Linked DNA regions of Cricetulus griseus. The protein of the gene in region 1 interacts with the protein of each later gene in a pairwise test. Links are inferred from orthologs where the notes say so. Each region holds a gene or a part of one and is shown in the gene's direction. Other genes may lie near its edges.

What was found.
Region 2: the proteins of Kctd9 (region 1) and Nup35 interact in binary tests that used the Homo sapiens proteins (3 or more experiments, as listed by UniProt). The two-hybrid records come from large-scale screens. The link is inferred for Cricetulus griseus from reciprocal best matches to the Homo sapiens genes KCTD9 and NUP35.
Region 3: the proteins of Kctd9 (region 1) and Syt6 interact in binary tests that used the Homo sapiens proteins (3 or more experiments, as listed by UniProt). The two-hybrid records come from large-scale screens. The link is inferred for Cricetulus griseus from reciprocal best matches to the Homo sapiens genes KCTD9 and SYT6.
Region 4: the proteins of Kctd9 (region 1) and Trim42 interact in binary tests that used the Homo sapiens proteins (3 or more experiments, as listed by UniProt). The two-hybrid records come from large-scale screens. The link is inferred for Cricetulus griseus from reciprocal best matches to the Homo sapiens genes KCTD9 and TRIM42.
Region 5: the proteins of Kctd9 (region 1) and Gem interact in binary tests that used the Homo sapiens proteins (3 or more experiments, as listed by UniProt). The two-hybrid records come from large-scale screens. The link is inferred for Cricetulus griseus from reciprocal best matches to the Homo sapiens genes KCTD9 and GEM.
Region 6: the proteins of Kctd9 (region 1) and Ehhadh interact in binary tests that used the Homo sapiens proteins (3 or more experiments, as listed by UniProt). The two-hybrid records come from large-scale screens. The link is inferred for Cricetulus griseus from reciprocal best matches to the Homo sapiens genes KCTD9 and EHHADH.

Annotation. Positions count from the first base shown.
Region 1 is NW_023276807.1:222,739,189-222,742,688, forward strand, and holds part of Kctd9 (BTB/POZ domain-containing protein KCTD9), read left to right. Parts: intron 1-2,944; coding exon 2,945-3,050; intron 3,051-3,500. UniProt on the Homo sapiens protein: Substrate-specific adapter of a BCR (BTB-CUL3-RBX1) E3 ubiquitin-protein ligase complex, which mediates the ubiquitination of target proteins, leading to their degradation by the proteasome.
Region 2 is NC_048599.1:94,462,575-94,466,687, reverse strand, and holds the start of Nup35 (nucleoporin NUP35), read left to right. Parts: upstream 1-1,313; 5' UTR 1,314-1,396; coding exon 1,397-1,436; intron 1,437-4,113. UniProt on the Homo sapiens protein: Functions as a component of the nuclear pore complex (NPC).
Region 3 is NW_023276806.1:53,374,361-53,378,643, reverse strand, and holds the start of Syt6 (synaptotagmin-6), read left to right. Parts: upstream 1-1,483; coding exon 1,484-1,646; intron 1,647-4,283.
Region 4 is NC_048597.1:205,877,635-205,881,134, reverse strand, and holds part of Trim42 (tripartite motif-containing protein 42), read left to right. Parts: coding exon 1-564; intron 565-3,500.
Region 5 is NC_048595.1:125,838,046-125,842,085, forward strand, and holds the start of Gem (GTP-binding protein GEM), read left to right. Parts: upstream 1-1,240; 5' UTR 1,241-1,397; intron 1,398-2,880; 5' UTR 2,881-2,889; coding exon 2,890-3,217; intron 3,218-4,040. UniProt on the Homo sapiens protein: Could be a regulatory protein, possibly participating in receptor-mediated signal transduction at the plasma membrane. Has guanine nucleotide-binding activity but undetectable intrinsic GTPase activity.
Region 6 is NC_048597.1:67,163,130-67,166,629, forward strand, and holds part of Ehhadh (peroxisomal bifunctional enzyme), read left to right. Parts: intron 1-2,111; coding exon 2,112-2,216; intron 2,217-3,500. UniProt on the Homo sapiens protein: Peroxisomal trifunctional enzyme possessing 2-enoyl-CoA hydratase, 3-hydroxyacyl-CoA dehydrogenase, and delta 3, delta 2-enoyl-CoA isomerase activities. Catalyzes two of the four reactions of the long chain fatty acids peroxisomal beta-oxidation pathway.

The DNA of each region.
Region 1 (3,500 bases):
CCAGTAACAAATTAAATTCTTTATCTCAGGGTTCTAGTATGTTTTGTTAATTAATTGTATCAGGTATAGCATTTTGCTTTTGATAGTTGAGTTATTATAATTTTGGTTTTATTCATTAGTTCAGCCTGTTTACCCCAACTTCTATATCAAGTCTAATAAAAAAAAATCACAATTTAGGCAGTACACATTTTAGATACAGCTACTCTCTCTGTTCTACCTCAGGCTGAATGGTCCAGTTTCAAAATAGGCAGAAGACATAAAACTAACAGCTTAAAGGCAAGTTTCAAGGAGTTAGCCTTTATTGAAATGTTGGAAGACTACTTGGTTTGAGTAGGGACATAAAAAGATAAAGACAGATTTAATCATTTCAAAACAACTGTTTTTCAGATCTATTTAGTTAAGGTGTTCTTGTGAACTGAGACATAATGTTCTCTGTATACTAGAACTCAAGAATCTTAATCTGCCTACCTTAAATAGTGGATGTGAAGGCCAGTATATATTTCTCATATAGTGAAATGTTATAGGAATGTAAGTTAATTACTGCTGATAAAGTTGGCTTATATTGAGGAGTGGTGCTGAGTTGTAAGCTATGAGGGTCAAAGCTAACTTCTCATTGCCTTTGGTATTTGAAGGTGGCCATTGATTAATAGCCATGAATATTGCAATGTTCATAAAACAAGGTATGTGTTGAGCATTCTGCCACAAAAGGTGCCCCTAGGGCTCCCATCTTTTGTTGAACTTCTCACCCAGTTTATCATTTTTGCTTCTTTCCATCATAGCCCCTGAACCTTTTGACTGTAAACCATAGGTGATCCCTGTTGCCATCACTGTTAAGGAGTCCATACCTTGCATCACGCCTAAGGTGTTTCTTCTGCATACTTTGCTTGTTTTTGGCTTATCTGGCTGCATAGAGGCAGATGATTCATTTCTTGTCTCCACTGCATATTCCCAGTACAGCCTTATGGATTGATAGGAACTTAGAGTACCAAGAACTGGAATGCTTGCTTAGTCTGACCTTGTTTTATAGGCTGATAATCTGTAGCTTAGAAACTTCCCAAGGGCCAGAAACCAGTTATTAGAGTAGGAACTAGAATCTAAAGTGTGTTTTCTTTGTAATTTGGTTTTATTTTAAAAGGACTGTTTCATTTGGAAAATACCAAATATTTATAAAATTTAATAATGCAGTGAATCCCCATTTTATCTTTGTCCATTAACCTCAGCAAACACTAGCATGTTGTCAACTTTCTTTTATGTGTATCTTACCACAGAATATTTTTACACAGCACATTACTTCAATATATGTGTGTGTTCAAAATGTATAGAATTTTATCTCTTAAAGATAAATGTCATTTAAGAAGCATAGTATATATTTTTAAAATAACAGAAAATGACCTAACTGGTTTCATCAAAACACATTGCCTCTCTTGATAATGCAAGACAGTTCTTATAAATATGGTACTGCTGTTACTAGCTGAATTGTACATTCTCAGAAATGACAACCTGAAGTGCTTTGCATGGCTAAAGATTGAAAAATTTACTACAGTTTCTCCTGTATTTCCTATTTCATTATATCCCAGAGCACAGCCCTGGATGTAGACTTTTACTTACAGAATTATCTGGGAAATTGGGGTAAATTTTGAATGTCTTATTAAGGATTATTAACAGAAAAAAAAAGTAGTGACATTTATTTGCAGATGGCAGCTTCCTGTCTTGTTAGATTTTAAGGTATATACATCTAGTCATCCCTTAGTTATTTCGATCTCTTAATAGCCTTACTGTATCATTTACCTTGGCAGAGCTTCTATATTATACTTCCTCATTAGGGTCCAGGCATGGAAAGATGGGAGTAAGCAAGTATCTGTCCATTGGCTGTCAGTGGAATGACCTCTCTTGTCTCCTTTTACTGGAAGTGACTGAAGCTTGAGTAAAACTGCACCTAAAAACCAAAGATCTCCCTTAATAAGTATGGCTATAACTTATCCGTCTTAGGATTTTAGACAAAGAACAATTATCATGTATATTCTACATTGTAAATTTTAACACACTCAGCTTCTGTTTTGATTGTCACAATTGTGAAGAAGTACTTAATGTTAGTTTTTACAGAGACACTTGTCATTTTGATCAATACCTCATAATCCAGGCCTTGAAAGCAGTGATTTAACACTTAAACTCACACATGAATTTTCTAACTCTCTGCTCTCCTCATTACGCTTTGTGCTCAGGGTTGGCAATGCCATAGAGCAGTGGTTGACACAGAAAGACTCAAAACAGGTGGTTAGTGTTGTATAGGTAAATGATGAGGTGAATGGTGGCATTAGTGACCTGGCCTCTGAACGAATGGGACGTCAAGACTCTCTTTCTTTCTTTCTTTCTTTCTTTCTTTCTTTCTTTCTTTCTTTCTTTCTGTCTTCCTTTCTTTCTTTCTCTCTTTCTTCCTTACTTCCTTCTTTACTTCCTTCCTTCCCTTTCTTTCTTTCATTCCTCCTTCCTTCCTTCCTTCCTTCCTTTCTTTCTTTCTTTCTTTCTTTCTTTCTTTCTTTCTTTCTTTCTTTCTTTTATTCCTTTCATGATTAGGAAGAAAAATTCTATCCCCTGAGTTTATGTCTTCCTTATTTCACTTACATTTTTAGCTTTATCTTGTGATGTCTAGGGCTATTTACAAGATAGAAATAGGCTGTCATAGTTTAGATTGCACAGCTTTATCTGATCTCATGCTCTATGCAAAATGGACATGCTGTTGTTCATTTGGTGTTTATTTCTTTTATGCAGTTCTTTCAAAAGTTCTCAGTTCTTACTGGGTTTCATTAAAGATATCTTCAAGATAAAACAGAAAATAACAAATTGCAGATGTGTTGACTTGGGCCTTTCCTATTCATTTCTTTCTTATTGCTTGCACAGATGTTGTCAAGTTTAACCCTTACAGCCGGGACTCTTGTGTTCACAGTGCGCAAATCTCCAGGGAGTCAAGATGCTCTGCTCAAACGCAGAAGGCGCATCCCTGAGGCTCTGTAATTTTGAGGATCCTTCCGGTCTTAAAGCCAACTTAGAGGGTGAGAACCTGTCTGCCTGTCCCTGCCTAGAAAGAAACCATTAATTAAAAGTTGTTGTTAGAGGTGAAACAGGAAGGCTGTGGGTGGAGCTTCCTCTGAGGCCAGAACTGGAGAGTCACTTTACTTTGGTCCCAGTCTGTTAAATATCTATCAAACTCTGAACTTTTTAATAGAATAAAATATTCTGTGTTGACAAAAATGAAGAATTTCAGTTTACCCTGCAGTGTTGTGTCAAGTTTTAATACTTCATTAGTGTTTCGTTGTTTACGAATAGGACATTTTATTTACTTAGATTTAGGTGAGATGGTGCTGGTGTCTCCCTTGATCATGATTTTACAGAGTCGTATTAGAAAAGTGCTAATTATCAACAGACAATATTGATTTCTCTCCTCAAAAGTATTGTTCAAGCATTTTATTTTATGCCACAAGAAAATAAATTGCTGGGGCTAG
Region 2 (4,113 bases), on another chromosome or scaffold:
ACTGCTGTGAGGTAATTAACTGCTTGCTCTCAATTTTGAAAACCTTCTTGTCACTGTGGAACTGTGACAAGATAGTTTCTTATCACTGTCTAACAGGAAAGAGAAATAACTGAGAGAATAAAGCAGTTTTCTCACCCAGTCATGGATTCCATAAAGCACAAGATAATTGTAATCCCCACCTTTATGAACCCTTCCTTTAGCTTCATTTGGCCTAGCATGCTTTTTGGCTCTAAAATTGTCATCCTTCTGCTAACAGTAAGAAGAATATATCAATTTAATCCAGATTTGATTAGTCTAAGTCTTTGGTCTTTCCCAGTGGACTTGATCACCACAATACTATCATTTGACTACAGTAATAAAAATCCTCCCAGATTTAGGATTTTAGAAAGCTTGGAAATAGCAAAAGATATGTCAATGTTTTGGGAAGGTTGGGAAAGGCTCAGAGCATATTCCAGAATATAGAACACGAAGCACATTAATTTTTTAATTAAGTTTGCAAACAGTGAAACTTAAACATTTTAACTTATGCATCCTATGTACATGTGTATCATTAATACATGAATATACCCTAAGGAAAAAACAGCAGGATGAAGGGGGAAGACAGGAATGTCATGGGCAGAATGACCTTTATTTACATATTTTTAAAGTCTATATTCTTCTGTATGTATTAATACACAACAAACTGGTTGTGATTTAATATGAAATTGTGCCTACATACATAACACAACATTTAATAGAAATGACATCTAGATAGAAGAATACTTTGAGAAATGAACGTCCTATATCAAGTGCAGAAACAAAGTTGAGAAAAAGGAATATACAGTTTCATTAAGCCTACTTTCCCAGGTGTTAGGAAAGTGGACAGTACATTGGGAAAACTCACACTAATATTATCAAGTGAGCAAAGATTTTCTTCCTTCCTTCCATCCATCCTTCCTTCCTTTCTTTCTTTTTTTTTTTTTGTTTGTTTTTTTGAGACAGGGTTTCTCTGTGGCTTTGGAGGCTATCCTAGAACTAACTAGCTCTTGTAGACCAGGCTGGTCTCGAACTCACAGAGATCCACCAGCCTCTGCCTCCCAAGTGCTGGGATTAGAAATTTCTTCTATGAAGCACAAACACCAACATATCAGGAAGCCTGAGGCTTGACCAAAGCCATTCTCGTAGAACGAGGTCTCCTAGTGTTCCTTGCATCCCTAGTAAGAACCTTTCTTAGACTCGCAGCCCAGGCAAAGAAGTTTGCCCTCTTCCAAAATGGCGGAAGCAGCCACAGCCGCCGCAGAGAGCATGGTCGGAAGTTACGCCACCCATAAGGCCGCGCGGCCTTAACCGTGAGGAGAGTTTCCGCCATTTTTGAAAAGTGGGACCGTTCTTGCCGGAGTGGTGTTGGCCGTTTGCGATGGCAGCGTTTGCTGTGGATCCCCAGGCGCCCACGCTGGGTGAGTGAGCCGCGGCCGCCCCTGGCACAGCCAGCGCGCTGTGGACAGGGGGACGGCCGTCGAGCACCACGGAGGGAGAGGGAAGCGTTGTGGTCGGTGACACCGAGGTACCCGGGAGCCCCGCACTGCGCCCGGCCCCGGTGTGGTCCCTGCCCCGCACCCCTAAAGCATGCGCGTGGGTGGGCGGTGACCCCCGGGGCCCGGGGTTGACCCGCCGCCGCCGAGCCACCTAGGTTTCTGGGTCCCTGTCAGAAGGAATTTTTGTGTGAAAGCCAGACCTAGAAACAGCCCGGCTCCCCTCGCCTTCCCCGCCCTTTGCTTGGGAATGGGGCTCTCTCTCTGTTGGAGGACTGGCGAGTCTAAAGAGTCATTCCCATTATTTGCTGGGGAAACGTTCCGAATGTGCCGTCTTTGGAAGGGAAAAAGAAAAAAAAAAAAAACTAGTAAGTTAGCATGCCGATTCCCCACCCCCGTCGAGTTTCGTGAGCAATGACAACGGTCATACTTTACAATAGGAAAACAAAAACAGCCAGTCTACAGTTGCATAGACTTGTAACTACAGTTGCATAGTTTATAAATACTAGTTTATATAACTTTCTGAGCTTGGAGAAGATTGCAGACATGGCATATATGGTGCAGCATTAGCTTTGTAGATTCAAGGGGGTATGTAATGCTTGCCATGTTTTGGGTAAAAAGTTTCTTCTAAGACTAGCTAACGAATTGGATTTCTTTTTTTCAGCGTGTCATGCAAACTGAACCTATAAGGTTAATTATGTAAATACACTGTTGCATTAGAACTTGTGCCCAGATGTTGACCTAGGTAATTTTCATAACTTCCTTAGCGGGTCCAGGTTTTTCTGTTCAACAGTGAGATTTTGGAGTGCACGTTTGCTGGGGTAATAAATATTGTGAACAAGCACATCCTTGTAAATTGCTTAGCCAAGACTGCCATTCCCTGATATTAGTTGTTCAGGTTCACATGTTGCACGTTATCTGATGGTTTGACATTCTCCCAGCCCCTTCTCGCCGCACACTGCCCTGAGTGAAACAGTGTGATCCTTAATATTTAGTGGCATTTAAGACATTCAGGATGTAGTCATTAAGCTTTCTTTTCTTTTCTATTTTTTTTTCCCCTGATTTTATGAGACAGGTTTTCTCAGTGTAGCCTTGACTGTCCTGGAACTCACTCTGTAGCCCAGGGTGGCCTCAAACCTACAGAGATCCGCCTGCCTCTACCTCCCGATTGCTGGATTTAAAGGCGAGCACCACCACCACCGCTCCGCATCATGCTTTTAAGTCTAGCCATGAAGGAAGGGATATTTAGTGACAGTCTGGTTTCCTACTTTATCACGATGCATTTAGGGAACCAGATTTTTCTTGATCTAACTAGATTGTTTACTTTATATGACGTGCACCTGTATGTATGTTTGTGTGCCCTGAGGACTGACTTTAGGCTTAGTGGCAAGGGCTTTTACCCACTGAGCCACCTCACCAGCCCTTGACCTAATTCTTACATCTGTCATAATTTCCCTTCCCCTTTGTAGAGGATAGAATGAAGGTAGTTTGTGTTGTTACCAAAAGCCTTGTATTTTGTTACTATAGTTTTCTAAATATCTGTTCAGATATGCCTTTTTTTGAGACTTCTGGTTTGAGTTTAATGTTATTTTGAAATCTATAGTTATTATTAGATTATTAGCACTGTGTAATTATTAATTCATGGAAGAATTACAGTATAGCTTTTCTGTTGTTGTTGTTGTTTATCAAGACAGATTTTCTCTTTATCAAGACAGGGTTTCTCTGTGTAGCTTTGGAGCCTGTCCTGGAACTAGCTCTTGTAGACCAGGTTGGTCTTGAACTCACAGAGGTCTGCCTGCCTCTGCCTCCCGAGTGCTGGGATTAAAGGATTAAAGGGTGCGCCACAACCACCTGGCTAGTCTGTGCTTTTCTTATTGCTTATTTTTACTCTAAAATTCAGTTATAATTTCCTCATCTTCATAGTGGGAGTAGTCATAGCTGCCATTTGAGAAGGTTAATTTTTTTAAAAAATGTGTTTGTTTTTATTTTATGTGCTTGGGTGTTTTTGCCTGCATTTATCTCTATGTACCACGTGTGCCTAGTATCTAAAGAAACCACAAGTGGGCATCACATCTCAGGAAACTGGAGTTTTGTGAGCCACCATGTGGGTGCTGGGAATCAAACATGGGTCCTCTGGATATAGCCAGTGCTTTTAAATACTGAGGTCTCTCTTCAACTCTAGAATTTAATTTTGAGTTGATGATTATGAGGTGTTCACTTAGGGAAACTTTTGTTGATTATAGTTCTCCAAATAATTTTTTTAAATAAATGATAAATGATCTAAAAGTAAGTTTTAAAACTCTTTTCACTAGGGGCTGGAGAGATGGCTCAGCGGTTAAGAGCACTGGCTGTTCTTCCAGAGGGTTCAATTCCCAGCACCCACATGGCACCTCATTAACTGTCTATAACTCCAGTTCCAGGAGATCTAACACCTTCACACCAATGCACATAAAATAAATTTAAATAAACTAGTTTAAAAAAAACCTCTTTTCACTATATTTCTGAGTTAAAAGGCAAATTATAACATTATTAGTGTTGTAATGTTCATGATTTCCTTTTTATTACTGAAATAATTCACTGTTTTATATATAGGGAAGAAGAG
Region 3 (4,283 bases), on another chromosome or scaffold:
TCAAGCCTCCTCAGTTCCTCCTGCCTGAAATCCTCCATCTCTTTATGGCAGACTCCAGGGACCCGGGTGGAAGCTGAGAACCGGCTATAATTAATTGCCCCTCCCCGTTGTTCCCTAATACATTGCGCACAGGCTGGTTGTACCAATAGAACCTTCAGCACCACGGACAGGGCCTCAGCGTTTTCCTTGCTACACCCGGCCCTTCCTGACTGGGGTTTGCAATTGTAACGGACCTGTGATGAGGCTGGTGCAGAAGGTGCACGATGGGGATCGCCTGGAGTTGGCGCTCCGAATCTCCTCCCTCCGGAACCTGAGTCACAGCCTAAGCCACTTCCAATTAGCGTGTTAATTCGGAGGAAAGACCCTCCTCCCCGACCACTCTCCGTTGCACACTAGCCCCGTAGTTGAAGGTGCAGGAGGAGCTCCAGCTAAAGTTTCTTTCCAAGATGCCACCTCGGGAAGGTGACACATTGGTGATAGGTGAAGGACAGGAATCCACCGTGATAGAACCTTACCGGGCTCGGTCCCCTGGCAGTTAGCAATGGCTCGCAGATTTCCAGGGTTAAGTGAAGCATCCCAACCATCCTGATTCTGAGTCTCACTTCACGGTTCCCGAGGGGAGCTCCTTTTACAGTCTAGCCTTCTATTTAGTTTTCTGTCTTTCTGGCCCTTTTTATGTATGCTTCATAGACAAATATATTATTTCTGGTGGCTTTGGTCTGATGCGTGGAGGTGGGTCTGGTGGGAACCGAACCCCTTCCTGAAATGCTCCCCATTTCTATTCACCAGAAACTTTCTCCTCCCGTTGCCATGGAGAGAGACGGCCGCTGCCTCCGTCTCCATAGCAACGTGCCGGTGCCTCGGACCACAAGACTGTGGGGCTCAGAAAGTCTTTGCAGTTCCCCTCGCTCCGCAGTCTTGGGGTCTTTTATCTCCCAAGCTGAGACTTGGCAAGTCTGGCTAACTTCTCCTATCAACAACCTTGGCAGGGTTCTCCCGCCGTACAGTCTGGCCATCCCTTTTTATGTTGTGTTATTGCGATGCCCACTTGTGTGACATGTGGCAATTTCCCCAACGTTTTCACAAGTACTACCTTTATTCCCAGGGAACTCATGAAGTACCAGTAATCATTACACCTCTTTTACGAAAAGGAAAACTGAGTCCCGGAAAGGCCCAAGGTCACCTCCGCGGTGCTTGCTCGGCTGGCCTTGAATCCTGCACTGTGTGGGACAGCGGGGTTGGAACCTTCCCGGACTCGGGCAGGTCCCTGCGTGTGGAGGGGGCGGTCGAGAGGCGCCAGACTTGCCAGCTGCCGCGGGATGCCACGTGAGGGGCGGGGACCCTGCAGGGAAGTGATTAAAAGCAGAGCCGAACCGCAGGGGGCCGCTGCGGGGAGGGTCTTCTTGGGGCCGCCTTGCCCCGCCCCAGTCCGGCCGTGGTGTGGGGTGCGAGCCACTGCTCCTCAGACCTGAGTGTACGGGGCATGAGCGGGGTTTGGGGGGCCGGAGGGCCTCGGTGCCAGGCGGCGCTCGCGGTCCTGGCCTCTCTGTGCCGGGCCCGGCCGCCCCCTCTCGGGCTGGACGTGGAGACTTGTCGGAGCTTCGAGCTGCAGCCCCCGGAGCAGAGTCCGAGCGCGGCTGACTCAGGTACCAGGAGACCCAGAGCCCCCTCCATTCCTGGATTTTCACACCGGTGGCCTCCCCTTCCCAAGGCACCGGCCCAAGAGCCCCAGAACCTCAGAAGTCTAGCTTGGGGTACCGGCCTGGGCCAGTCCGATGGCTCGCCGCCCACAGCAAGAGATCCGAAGGGGACCCCGGAGAAGAACCCCTTCTCCCCATCACTAATGCGAGAGCTCCGAGATGCGGCACCCATGCGTCCTCAGTTTCCCTTGTGTCTCTAGGCTCATCCTAGGGCCGATCGGCCAGAGCCGTGGAGAGGGAGACATCCTGGGTGCGGAGGAAAGCCCGAGTCCTCCGGGGGTTCCAAAGTCCAGGGCCCCTCAGTGACTGGGTGAAGGCGGGTCGAGCCCCTAGGCTTGGGAAAAACTTGCGTCTGCAGCTGGCACGCGGTCTTTGTGTCCAGGTCTCTCAGCAGCGAGTGGCTGTCTGCGTCTCGCCGGGGGGCTGGGGCGGGGTGGCGTGGCGTACTCCCCACCCCCCGGCACCCCTATAACTCGCTCTCTCGGTCTCTGACTCACTTGGACTCCGGGCGGGTGCGCAACTGAGCCGGTGCCTCTCGCCGACTTTGCCAGGCGGGAACCTCCTGCCCGGGAGGTGCGGACCTTGCGCCGGACGCAGCCCCGGCAGCCGCCGAGTCTAGGCGGCAGCCTGAGCCAAGTCCAGCTCACCGGAGCTGGTGAGTCCCGAGCCCGAGCCCACTGGGGAGGGTCCCGCGTGCAGCCGCGACGTCTCGCGGGAGTCGCGACAACAGGGGTGGCGTGTCGCGCCCTGGCGGCGGGAGCCGCGGGAGTGTCCGCGGCGTGGCAGCCGACCGGCCCGGGTATGTACCTGCTGCACCAGTCTTTGCCGCCAAGCAGCTCTCCCGCTGCAGCGGGATCCTTTGTCCCGCAATTAGGAGGGTCCAGGACAGAGCGAGTATGGGTCGTGTACCTTCCGAGCAAAGGGCCCGGGGCAGCGCGAGGCCCGGAGTGAATGCGGCGTGGGGGTGGGGAAATCCTGCAGAGACTGAGGCGCTGGAGTTCCTTGGGGCTCCGCAGACTCACTGAACCTTGTTCTCGACCGAGACCCGGACTCGGACCCTAGTGGCTCTGGGCCTAGGCTTAAGTGGGAGGTCGCTTCGTGGTTCCATATGGCTGGCGCCGGAAAGAGGAGAGGGGAATGCTAGAGGCAAGAAGATGGTCTCCACTTGTCTCCAGGGACAAGTGGCCAGGGACCACAGGAGAGGTTCTGGGAGCAGGTGCAGGCTGGGTAAGCTCCCCAGTGACCTCAGACTCCAGACCCCTGTTTCCATTTGAGGTTAAAGGTCAAAGATAGATGTAGACTCTAGGTTAGGAATAGAGCCTTCAAGGGAGGGGTAGAGAGGCCGGGGAAGACTGTGTGTACCCTCTAGGAGGCTGCTTGAAATCCAGCCTTGTGTGAGTGGAGCCCACCTCACATCTGTGAGTCATTAGGGGTGCTGCTTTTCTCTCTGGCCTTCTCTGGCACTATTTAATCAATGAGTTGATGACTGCAGCAGAAAAGACCAAGACTTAAGGAACTTTTGCAAGTAGGACCGTGATTAAAGTTGGCTCTCCCTCTTTGGTATTCTCAGAACAGATTAGACTGTCATTGGACACCGTTTCTCTGGTGACATCTCCTTCTCCCCCCCACCCCCCAACTCCATACACTTCCAAGACAAAAATTTCCTCAAGTCAGTCTCTTCCTATCTCCCTCCTTTCCTTTAGCTCCCTCCCATCTTTTCCTCAAGCGCTCCATCTGCAGTGGAGTCTTCCCTCTGGGCTTGATACCTCAGAGAATGGAGGGCCAGAACACATCCACAGAGTTCTGCACTACTACTTGTCCACCGCAAAGATGCTGGGGGTGGGGGTTGTTGTGTGTACCTTTGGGGGAGACACTGGTATTGATGCTGGGGGCATTGGAGGTTGTTGTGTGTACATATTGGGAGAGACACTGATATTCTGATTCCCAAAAGATTCCTTGAATCTGAATTTCCAAGCTGAGATGAGTGAAGCCTGGGCAAGAGACAGGGTACCACATGAATCAGTACCCTGGCCTAATGTGAATTTGAGTTGTATAAACTGCCCTGACCCCAAGGAGCCTTAACTTGATTAATGTGTCTGTCACAAGCCCCAAGAAATCCTGAGGCCAAGTTAGGACAAGAGATGCAGGCAGACAGGGAGCTGGATCACACCACGAGAAAGTGGCTCAGCTGGCTCCAGGACCTTGGGGATTTAGGTGAGCAGTAGGTCTACAGAGATGCAGTGTTCAGGCCAGGGTGCCAGACCTTCCAGGTCCCAGCCTTCACTTTGTTCTCTATCTAGGATCTGATTCTCCAACCAAAGCAATGCTAGATTTTTCCCCAGTTTTATGGGGAAAAAAATGCAAGTGGGCAGAGTATGCTCGGCTTCCTTCCCCATCTTACCTTTTCCCCTGCCTTCTGCCAGTTCTGAAGTGTCTAACTCCCAGGATTCCCTGAGCTTCACCAGTTGAGACTCAGAGTCCACTGCCATTTGCACAGACCTTCCCATAGGCCAGGGTCTGGGCAAGGAATTGCATCAGAAATCTCGATGAATCAGACCCTGACTTGGAAAGATCTATACTGAA
Region 4 (3,500 bases), on another chromosome or scaffold:
AAGGAAGCACTGAAGGAAACCGGACAGGTGGCTTTCCTACAGTCTGCTAAGATCCTGGTAGACCAGATCGAGGAGGGCATCCAGAACACCTTCAGGCCTGACCCTCAGCTGCGGCTGCACTCCTTACAGTGCATCCCCTTGGATTTTGCTGAACTCTCCAGTGCCATCCACGAACTCTTTCCCACCGGACCCAAGAAGGCTTGCTCCTCAGGGGATTCTCTCCCTTCCCAGTATCCTATCCACTCAGAAATGATGATCGCCAGGAAGGTCACGTTCAGCACCCACAGCTTCGGCAACCAACAGATATACCAACGAAGCTCCTCCTTGCTGTCCTTCAGTGCCACCAATGATAAGGCCAAGATGGAGGCCTTTGGAAGGGCCCAATCTACTGCACCTGTCAGACCAACCGACGGCCTTTATACCTACTGGAGTGCCACAGGGGAAACCCAGCCCCCACAGAACAGCAATAGCTTCCACAACTGGTACTCATTCAATGACACCTCTGTGAAGACCCCAGGCCCAATTGTCATCTACCAGACTCTGGTATATCCGAGAGCTGCCAAGGTAAGACAAAGGGATGGTGTTGGGCACAGAACGAAAGCAAGGGGTCAGAAAGGGTTATCTTGGGCTCAAGAAGGTAGTCGCTTGAATCTGCTCCTCTAGACTCTTTGCAGCAGTCAGGCTAGTCAAATAGTGTAGGGTTCTGAAATGTTCATTAGCCCATCAGTGAAATGAAATCATAGTGGTAAGTACATGTAAATCCCCAGCCCTGCTCTACTGAAAAAGAACTGCCTGGGAAGACAGCTCAGAAGGCAAGGTGCTTGCTGTGTAAGCATGAGGACTTGAGTTTGCATCCCCATCATGTATGTCAAAGTCAGGCCTGCATCTATTGTACCAGTGCTGGGGAGGCAGAGGCAGGGATCCCAGGGTTTACCTGATCAGCCAATCTAGTGGAAAAAGTGGGGTGCCAGGTTGAATGACAGATATTGTCTAAGAAATAAGTATGAATAAACAAATAATAAAGGAGCAATGTGATAGAGAGATAGATGGTATCACCACTGGTCTTCAAACTAACAAAAGTCAAGGGAGCGCATGAGCACGCGCGCACTCGAGGGCAGGCAGGCAGGAAGGCACGCACGCGCGCGCGCGCGCACACACACACACACACACACACACACTCATACAGATCATGCCATAAATAAATGAGAGAGAGAGAAGTAAAAAGAAAGAGAATCAAGTTGGAACCAATGTAAGTTTCAAAATGGCTTGGGAGATGGTGAAAGTAGGAAGCAGAGTCTAGGAATGGGTTAGAAATATAGTCTCTTCTGGCTGCCAGCTGTGTGTTCCTCTAAACAGCTACCTCTCTTAAATTCAAGCTCCCTGTGGTTTGGAAAGATCAGAATGATAATGCCCAGGAAAATTCCAATTCTCTGATGAGATCCATCTTCTCTTAGCGGTGATGTGGAAAGTGGGGCACTCCCAAATCTCTGCACCTGTCATCACCTAAGGTCATTGGCCTTGACCTAACATGGACAAATGGTCTTTTCCTTATCATCTCTCTGAAATCCAACTGAGCTTAAATTGAATTGCTTACAGAGTACCTTATTCAAATTCAAAGAGGCAAAGTATTGCCAGGCAACTAAATATTGAATTGGAGAGTTTCTTGCCTCCTTTGAGGTTCCTACAGGGAGATACCTCCCATATTAGTCTGTGGCCTGCTTCCCGATGGCAGAACTCATCTTTTGTCCTTCTCCCAAAGATAATAGGCATCTTGAAGTCTAGACTCATGGTTCCCAAACACTAGCATCTCCTGAAGACCCGTTAGAAGGTAGATTCTGGGTCATTCTGTTATGGGGCCCCAGTGTCTGTCTCTCACAACCTGGGTGTTACTAAGGCTGCTGTCTGAACACTGTGCTTCAGTCGGTAGAGTCTAAACATGAGGAAATCAAGACCAGACAGAGGCCAAGCTTTACCTTCCCATTCTGCCAAGACATTGTAATCCTTGCTTCAGAGGCTTAAAACAAGTACCACAAGAACTATGCCAGGTAGGACAGTGCCCTCCTGGAGACCCTCGAACACAGTACAGTGGCCCTCCCTGTCCTTCACACAAAAGATGCCTGCATAACTAGCTAGGGTATAGGTGACATCAGTGAACTCCTGGTGACAGTGTGCCTCATCTCAGTGCTAACTCAGCCTCACAGGGAGTCCACAACTCCTGCTATGAAGCAGAAGGGCTCCATACTTAGCTCGGAGAAGTCACCTATGCTGCCTAAGAGTTACCCCCTGGATAAGCTTGTAGGGATCACCTACCAAGACAACAAAGCAAGTCACTGCCGCCTCACCTATGGCCAGACGGTGACTTAATGCATAATAATAATGATGGTGATAACAACAATAATAATGAAGATCTCTGATCTAGGGCCTTTCCCAGGATTCATTGTGCTCTACATTGAAAATGATTAAGTCTATGTTGACATAGAGATCCTAGAGATCTTTTAAGTCAATTTGATTTACAGAAATAATTTCTTAAGAAACTACAAAAAAAAAATCAGATGAGAATTTATGCCCCAAAATATTCATTACAGCATTTATCGGAGTATAAAACTAGAAAAACCTGACTACTTGGCTATAGAAATGGTCAGTTATCCTGAACATCGGGGAACTCTTGCTCCCCAGACTGATAGCTGGGATACTAGCATGGGACTGAGCCAGACCCCAGGAACATGGGTTTCAGTGAGGAAATCTCGGAAATCTATGGGACCTCCTATAGTTGTTCAGTACTTATCCCTACCACAGGTGTGGACTTTGGGAGCCTATTCCACATAGAGGAATACTCCCTGAACCAAGATGCACGGGGGTGGGCCTAGGCCCTATCCCAAAAGATATGATAGACTCTGATGACACCCTATGGAAAGCCTCGCCATCTAGGGGGAGCAGAAAGGATATGTGATAGATAGTATGTGATAGGTAGGGTTTTAGTTGCGGGGGGGGGGGGGTGGTAGGGGAGGACGGGAGGGAGAAGGGAACTGGGATTGTCATGTAAAACAATCTTGTTTCTAATTCAAATAAAAAATCTGCAAAAAAATAAAACAAAACAAAAAGAGAACATAAACAAAGAAATGGTCAGTTATTTCTGGAACAGTTTTTTTTTTTTTTAGGCTGTATTACACATATTCATTTTATTTGTGTATGAGCATGAATGTGTGTGAGAGAGAGAGAGGAGAGAGAGAGAGAGTAGATCTGCACATGCTGGAGCATACATGTGGAGGTAGAGAAAGCTGGACAGAGTCAGTTCTCGCCTTCACTGTGGGAATCCTGGGAATCAAAGTCAGGTCATCAGGTTTAACAGCAAGCACTTCACTCTCTGAGCCATCTTGCTGGCCTCTATGGGAGTTGTTAAAGGCAGTGCTTTACCAGATTTTTAACATGTAAGATATGTTAACTGTAAGTTAAGAGAATAAGCCAAAGCCATGCAATCCCAATTACATGCATTAGTGTGT
Region 5 (4,040 bases), on another chromosome or scaffold:
TTTGCCAGCTTGGTCCTTGACAGACCTCAGAAGCCAGTCACTTGCATAATTCCCAAATCAGATAGATGCCCAAGGAAAACTGGGAATAATCCATTGTACCCACAGCCTCTGCAAGAGACACTGGTGTTGCTGGCTGCTTCCCAGGCAACCCAGAGCAGAAGTTGGCTAGAGAAGCAGATGGATGTGTTGGACAGGCTAGCATGGACTCTAAACACAGCATGTGGGAAATGCCCATGTCCCTGGGAAATACCCAGGTCCTGGGGAAGAGGTCACTTAGTGGTGCAGGTAAAAAGTTACTCAAACTAGGTCCTAAATGCTGCCCCTGCCACCGGCCCTGATATCCTGCAGCATCTCTAGTTCCTCAATCTACGACTGTGGTAAGGAGCAAGGTCCCCGGGCCCACCAGTACCACAGGCTTTTGGAAATCCTAGCAAATGTTAATAGCAGTTGCGATCTTGTGTCCTTCACTACCAGGACTCTCAGGGGATTGGGCCTGATCATCTCCCCACGGCTGGGAAGCCCAGGCTCCAGGGCACAGTTCCAGCCATGCAGCTAGGTTCTGAGTTGCACCAATTGGGATGTGATTAAATTTCTGATTGAGAAACGTCAGCATTGTGGCCAGAACAGGAATGTTTATCGCAAGCTGTTTGGAGCCAAACTGCCCTTTCCAAGGTTTCCCCAGCTCTTTCCTCTGGCCCCTTCTCTTTGGGTCTCCAGCCAGAAGAGGGAAACAAAGTAGTGTGGTGCTCCCCTCTCCCCACCCCAGAGAGAAGGTGATGGGAAGCAGGAGAGCCCATTGCCTCTCAGAGCATGCTGTAAAACTGGCCTGCCCACCCAGTGTGAGAGTAGCCTGGAGGCAGAAGTCTTGCTCACTCAGGCTGATCTGCTTTCTTGGCAAAGCTGGACTCGCGGCAACTCAGGCTTGTCTCTTTCCCCATCCTTTATTCAGACAGCTCACAAGTGCCCTGCTGGGAAGGGCGATTAAGTAGCACTAAGTGTATTTTTCCAGTGTCCACCTGGTAAAAAGAAAATAAAACAAAATCAAGGAGGCCAAGGACTGAACTGTCATTTTTTTCCCTCTCTCCCCTCAAGGGGCGAGGGTAATCACATGACTGCTAGTAACTGATTTAGCCAAGTGGCTGCAACTTAAGAGTTTGCTGCAGCGCCGCCCCCTCCCAGCGGGAGCGCTGACGTCACGGAAAAGCCCTGTCGCGGGGCCGCCGGGCGTGCTATAAACGGCGGTGGCTGGCCGAGGTGGCTTTAGGAGGCGGCGCTGCCGGCTGATACCACACGGTCTCGGGCTGCGGAGCCAGCATCGCATCGCAGGCGGCAGGCATTGCAGCAGGCAGCAGGCATTGTGCCGACCGACTGCAGACCCTGTGGCCGGGTGCAACCAAGTAAGGGGGCATCGCGGAGGGGCAGTCGCGGTGGGAGCCGCGTCTGGGAGGGGAGTTCCGGGCCACTGAACTTTTTAAGTTGGGAAGGGAGCCCCCGGACCATGAGGTCTGTGCCGGAGGTTCTGCCATGGGAGAAAAGTTCAGGTGCAGAGGACATACTTCTCATGGGGGTTCCTTGATTCAGTCCCGGAGGAGTGTCACCTTAAGGATTAGGTGGCCAGGCGGCCATCAATCAGGGACTGTTTTTATGACTTAAAAAGAAACCGACTGGTTCTGGCTAGTGGCTTAGGAGTTGGGGTGTGGAGTAGGGTGTGTGAGCTCAGTGCGATCCTAGCGCTCGCGCGGGGCGCTTGCTGAGTTAACTGCTTCTGTGTTCTCTAGGGAAGTCTTGACAGAACAGACTTGTCAAGCAAGGAGGTGTTGCAAGGAGAAAGTAGTAAGAAGTTGTTGAGTGTCTTTTCGTTGAGTCTTTGACCTTCTGATTTACCTCAAGAGGGTGGAACATTGAGCTAACTAAATAAATTTTGGTGTAGACGAGGTTCGTTAAGAATGAAGCCCTTTCTGCACAAGTTGATGTGTGCAAATGTGAGCAGGTCCTGCCAGTGTGAGAAGGACTAGGCTCAGGGCTAGTATGCTAAACAGTATCTGTGGGCAAGAGGGCAGAGGTAAGGCATAAACCTTAAACACAAACTGCCCCACTCCCAAGTAATGTTCTCTTCAGGCAGTTGGAGAACATCAGGGCAACTTTACTAAACATGGAAGTTCCCCCAAAGTGCCTGTCCGGTCCAGCCAGGGGAGTGATGTCATTGCCACGTGCCTCCCACTGAGGCCCCAAAAGCTCCAAGACGCTGGTGCAATTAAGAGCCATGTTTAGACAAGAGCAGCTAACCTGGCCAGCTGGTCCCCAGCAACATTGACTTGTTGCTGATGGTAAAGCCATTTCTGGAGGCAGTGGGTTCCTTCCAGCTGCCTCTGTGCCACCTCCCAGTGGGATTTTCAAAGTTTCTTTAAGGATGGAGGTTGCTTATAGGCAGTTGGTGATGTTATTGGAAATGCAAATGACAGCCTGCCTAAGAAGCTGCGTGTGTATGTGTGTGTGTGTGTGTGTGTGTGTGTGTGTGTGTGTAAGATTTGCATGCTAGGGCCTTGGGGACTGCTTCATGGGTGCTCCTTATATTAAGAATGCTTGCTGGGTGTTGGTGGCCCACACGTTTAGTCCCAGCACTCGGGAGGCAGAGGCAGGAGGATCTCTGTGAGTTCGAGACCAGCCTGGTCTACAGAGCGAGTGCCAGGATAGGCTCCAAAGCTACACAGAGAAACCCTGTCTCGAAAAACCAAAAGAAAAAAAAAGAAAAAAAAAGAAAAAAAAAAGGATGCTTAATTCATACCAATCAAATGGAATGCCACTGACAACAGTATTTGGACTTCCTTGGGCCTAGCTCATCCTTGCTAATATTGGCATCTTGACTGCTTTGCTTCCTAGGACCCCACAATGACTCTGAATAATGTCACCATGCGCCAGGGCACTGTGGGCATGCAGCCACAGCAGCGCTGGAGCATCCCTGCTGATGGCAGGCATCTGATGGTCCAGAAGGATCCTCACCCTTGGAACCTCCGCAGCTGCCGCTCTACCACTCCTGAAGACCACTGCCGACAGAGCTGGTCCTCCGACTCCACAGACTCTGTCATCTCCTCTGAGTCAGGAAACACCTACTACCGAGTGGTGCTTATAGGGGAGCAAGGGGTAGGCAAGTCCACCCTGGCCAACATCTTCGCAGGTGTACATGACAGCATGGACAGTGACTGTGAGGTCCTGGGAGGTAGGTGGGCTTCTGTCTTGTAAGCTGAAAAAGCAAAAGTGATTGGGTCATTTTTCTGCAGAATTGGAAGCCAGAATTGGAATTACAGTTAATTAGAATTACACTTGTAATTCCAGCACTGGGAAGGCAGAGGTGAAAGTACTAGGAATTCAAGGTCATCTTCTGCTACATAGTGGCTTTGAGTTTAGCCTGGGCTGTGTAACTCTGTCTCAAAAAATAATAAACCAAAACAAAATGTATCTTCAGAATTAGGAGAAAATGAGATACTTGATACTGAGATGGGTAGCAGAGGCCAACCCTAAGTCCCAGCATATGTCCTCAGGACACAAAAGAAAAGAAATGAATAAGGTACACAGCACCAAGATCTATGACCTGAGCCATCGAGGGACTTTCTGAGGTCAAGTCTTCGGGGTCCAGGGAGGTGGACCCTGACCTGGACTACTTTTCAAGAGCTGACCAGTACAGACACCTTTTCTGTGTTTATGCATAAAACCAAACTGATTTCAGGGAAAGAAAAAAAACCTGTTGGAGTGCATCAATTAGCTTGTGCCCATTGATATTAGAAGCATTTACAAGTATAATTAGGTCAAACGCTATACTTGAAGTAACATAATAATTTAAAAAAACTGAAATATAAAAATGATGAAAGATGCCCTGTGTAGAGTCTGATAGGTTTTCCAGATGATTTTCTCTGTTTGGTCTTATTTTGACTATTTATTTATTCAATCCTTCTCTAATTCTAGACATAGTTTATAAAAAGATATACAACCACAGGTAATAGCTTTATATTCTGAGGTGGAAATTACCGCTCTAATGATCAGTT
Region 6 (3,500 bases), on another chromosome or scaffold:
ACCACCTACATAACTAGTAGCTCTTTGGAGTCTTTCATAACTTCTAAGAATGTGAAAAGATGAATTTTTTTTAGAATCAATAATAGAGATTTATATGCTCTGATAAAAACCCGACACGAAAACATAGAAACCAATAGTGTGTATGAATTAAAAGTAGCTTCGCTCTTTTAAATGAGGTGTGTGAAAGGAAAATTAGAAGAACTAGATGTATTGAATTGAAATTCACTCAAATAATCGAGTTACACGTTGTTTAATGACAAGTATATTTCAAAAGCCTGTGAGGTATTTGAGGTCATTTCGATTTCTTCAGAGAATGCTTGTAATTCAGCATCCTACAGAAGCGCAAAGCAAAAGACAAAATGGAAGCAGAAGCACAAAATATATGAGAGAGTAACAGTGTCGAGAACTGAATTTACAAGCCCTAAAGTCTGCAGAATTAAGCTTATGAGGAAATTGAAGAAATTCGTCAGGAAGGCAAGAGTACCTTGAGATAAATCAGGAAGAAAAAAATAAAACGACTTCTGTAACAAAGAGAAGTGAAGGTCTTTGCCCACAGCGCTGATTCATAAGATGCTGTTATTGTAGCATCACGAGAAAGAAGCATAATCTCTGAGATTGACAAGTTTTGATTTGCATGGCAAAGGCCCCTGTGAATCAGCAAGTAAACTGGCGCAGGAATCACACACCTGTCTTTTTCAGTGGACAGTGTGATTTGGTGGCCCGGGTTGGCTTTAAAATGACATCTCAGAAAGGTTCCATGAAGACATCGAAATGTTAAGTTTGAGAAAAATTCTTGGAGAAATCTGGAAAGACACATGCCGTAATTGAACATGTGAGAGGCCGGCTCTGCTCCAGTCACTTTGGGGTCTCATCTTCCAGCGCTTTGGGGTTACAGCCTGCTAGACTGAGGTCCAGCCTACACTGTTCGTGATCCAGGAAAAAACAAAGCCAGGGGGCAGGCTTTGGGTTCAGCATGCAGGGCTGTGTTTGCTCCATAGTCGTTTGGAGCAGAACTGGGCCTTTATTAAGGTTTCTCTGTTCAGCCAACTAGTTCTGTATTTGGGGACTGTCTCTGGATCAATACAGTTCCTGGTATGTGGTAGGCATACGGTAGATAGCCCTGTCTATCTGTGGCTACCACTTCTATCACAGTCCAAATCTCAACCAGTTCATACACATCTGCAGAGACTTGCAGGGTTCTATATTTCTCTAAGTATCTAAAAAGACCACTTTTCTTTTATCTAATACTCAGAATTACTATAGTAAACATAATTACTTCCATTTATCAGGCATGGAATTTGATTTCTCGTACAGTTCCCTATGGTTTCTCTAATAATAAGAATTAGAGCTACAGCTTGAATTTAAGTGTCCTGGCTACATTTGTATTGATGTTCAACCACTATAGCCCAGTCCTAGCAGGGTGGAACACACCTTTAATCCCAGTACTCAGGAGACAGAGGGAGGTGGATCTCTGAGTTTGAGACCAGCCTGGTCTGTGTATTGAGTTCATGGCCAGCCTGAGCTACATAGTGAGTGTTAGGATACGGCGTGTGGGTACCTTGTCCGATTCCATGGCAGGCGAACGTGACCGGGGCGGAGGGACAGACACACCAGGCAGACAGTGCTTAAGTGAGAAGTTTTATTAGAAAGGGGAGGGAGGGAGAAGAAAAGAGAAAAGAGGTAAAGAGCACAGAGAAGACAGAAGAGAAGAGGGAGACAGGAAAAGTACTGTCTGGCCAGGGAAATAGCGGGGAAGAGAGTGGGAGAGTGGGGAAGAGAGAGGGAAAGAGCTCATAAGTGGGCGGGGTCTGTCTTTTAAAGGGGTCCTTTGCATCTGCACGCAGGCAAGTAGTCATGGAATGCTGGGCTGACCAAAATACTGCCTGAGTGCATTCTGTAGGGTGATAGGGGCAGGCCAGCATAAAGCCTGAATCCTTACAGTGAGACCCTGTCTCAAAACACAAAACATCAACTACAGTAGTCAGGCTGATCTCATGCATTTTACTTACTAATGGGTATATCCAGGAACGGCCCCCTTCCCCTCCAGAGAGAGCAAGCCCTGGTTCATCCCCACATTGTTCACTGGTTTCTTTTCTTTTCTTTTGTTTCAGGAAGACATATTTTAGCAGGTGAAGCCCTCAAATTGGGCATTCTGGATGAAGTTGTGACATCAGACCCAGTAGAAGAAGCTGTCAGATTTGCCCAGAAGATTATGGGTAAACAATAATTTAAAACAATAGCACAAGATTGGGAATAAGCTAAATGTGCTTTCTAAGGAGGGAACTCCTTAAAAAGCTAATGGGGCATCCATGTAGTACAATGTAGCCAAGCTTTAAATGCTGTATTGATCTGGCTTAAACTCCATGGTATGTTGTAATGTTGTATTAGGCAATGAAGAGAACATCATTTTAGGTGGTGTTTTGTTAACGGTGTAACAAAAAGGAAGGCGTTCTCCAAAAAATGGAGAAAAGGTATGCATGCCAAGAGTCTATACCTGAGGTCTTCCGAAAGCCAAAAAGGAAACGAAGTGATTGCTTCTGGGAGTGGAACTGATGTTTGCTAAAGTTTTAAGGAAACTATTTAGAATTTGTTCTGCTGTACTTTGGGGGGTGTCATGCCCCATGAGTGTTTTTTCTGGTTGAAACATAGAATTAAGTTGAAACACGGGGACAATCATGTAGCTTATGCACTAGAGGATGGGACCTGCAAGGTGTTTCCAGAGGCCATGACCTCTGGAGTTTCTGTCTTGGACAAGTGAGTTCTGTCCCTGCTGGGCATGCAGACCAGTGGTGTTCCTTCAAGTGTCCCTTTAGCACTCGCCTACAGAATTGTTATATTTTTTCGTTTGTTTTGCTTTGGGGGAGGGGTTACTTAAAAACTGTTGCCTTTATGCTGGAAAAAAAAAAGAAAAGTGGGACTGGTGGCATAAACTCCGGGAGACGAGTGCAGAGTCAGTTCCCAAAAGCCTTCCTGCAAGAAATCACGGTAGAAGCAAAAACCATTCAAGTAACCTCTGGGGGAAAGTTAAGGGAGGCTGCATACTCTAACTGAGCAGGGACAAGCTAAAACTTGCCTAAGAAAACACTTAGGAGGATTGCTGGGCTCCAGGCAGAATGGAGTGTGTGCTAGTCTCTGCTTGGTGACAGAGAAAGTTCCAGGTCATTCCAAGACATGCCTGTGAAAAACCGTTAGCCACCTCTGACAGCGACTTTTTTTTTTTCCCCAGAATCTTTTCTATGCCCCAGCTAGTTGGGGTTTCAGTGTGGATGTAGCACTCACACTACAAAGGTGAGGATTCTGTTCTGAGAGCTGAGTTACTTCCAGCAGAGGATAAGGACCAAGGTCTATTACGTATGGTCTGGAGGTGTTTACTCCCTTCAGCTTTTAAAGTTAATTCTAAACATTAAATTTGAAAGTTAATAAAACAAGATGATGGCCAGTCTCAGCAACATTATGGAGTTTGTCCACTAGGTGGCACCCCAACGTCAAGGCATCGTCTG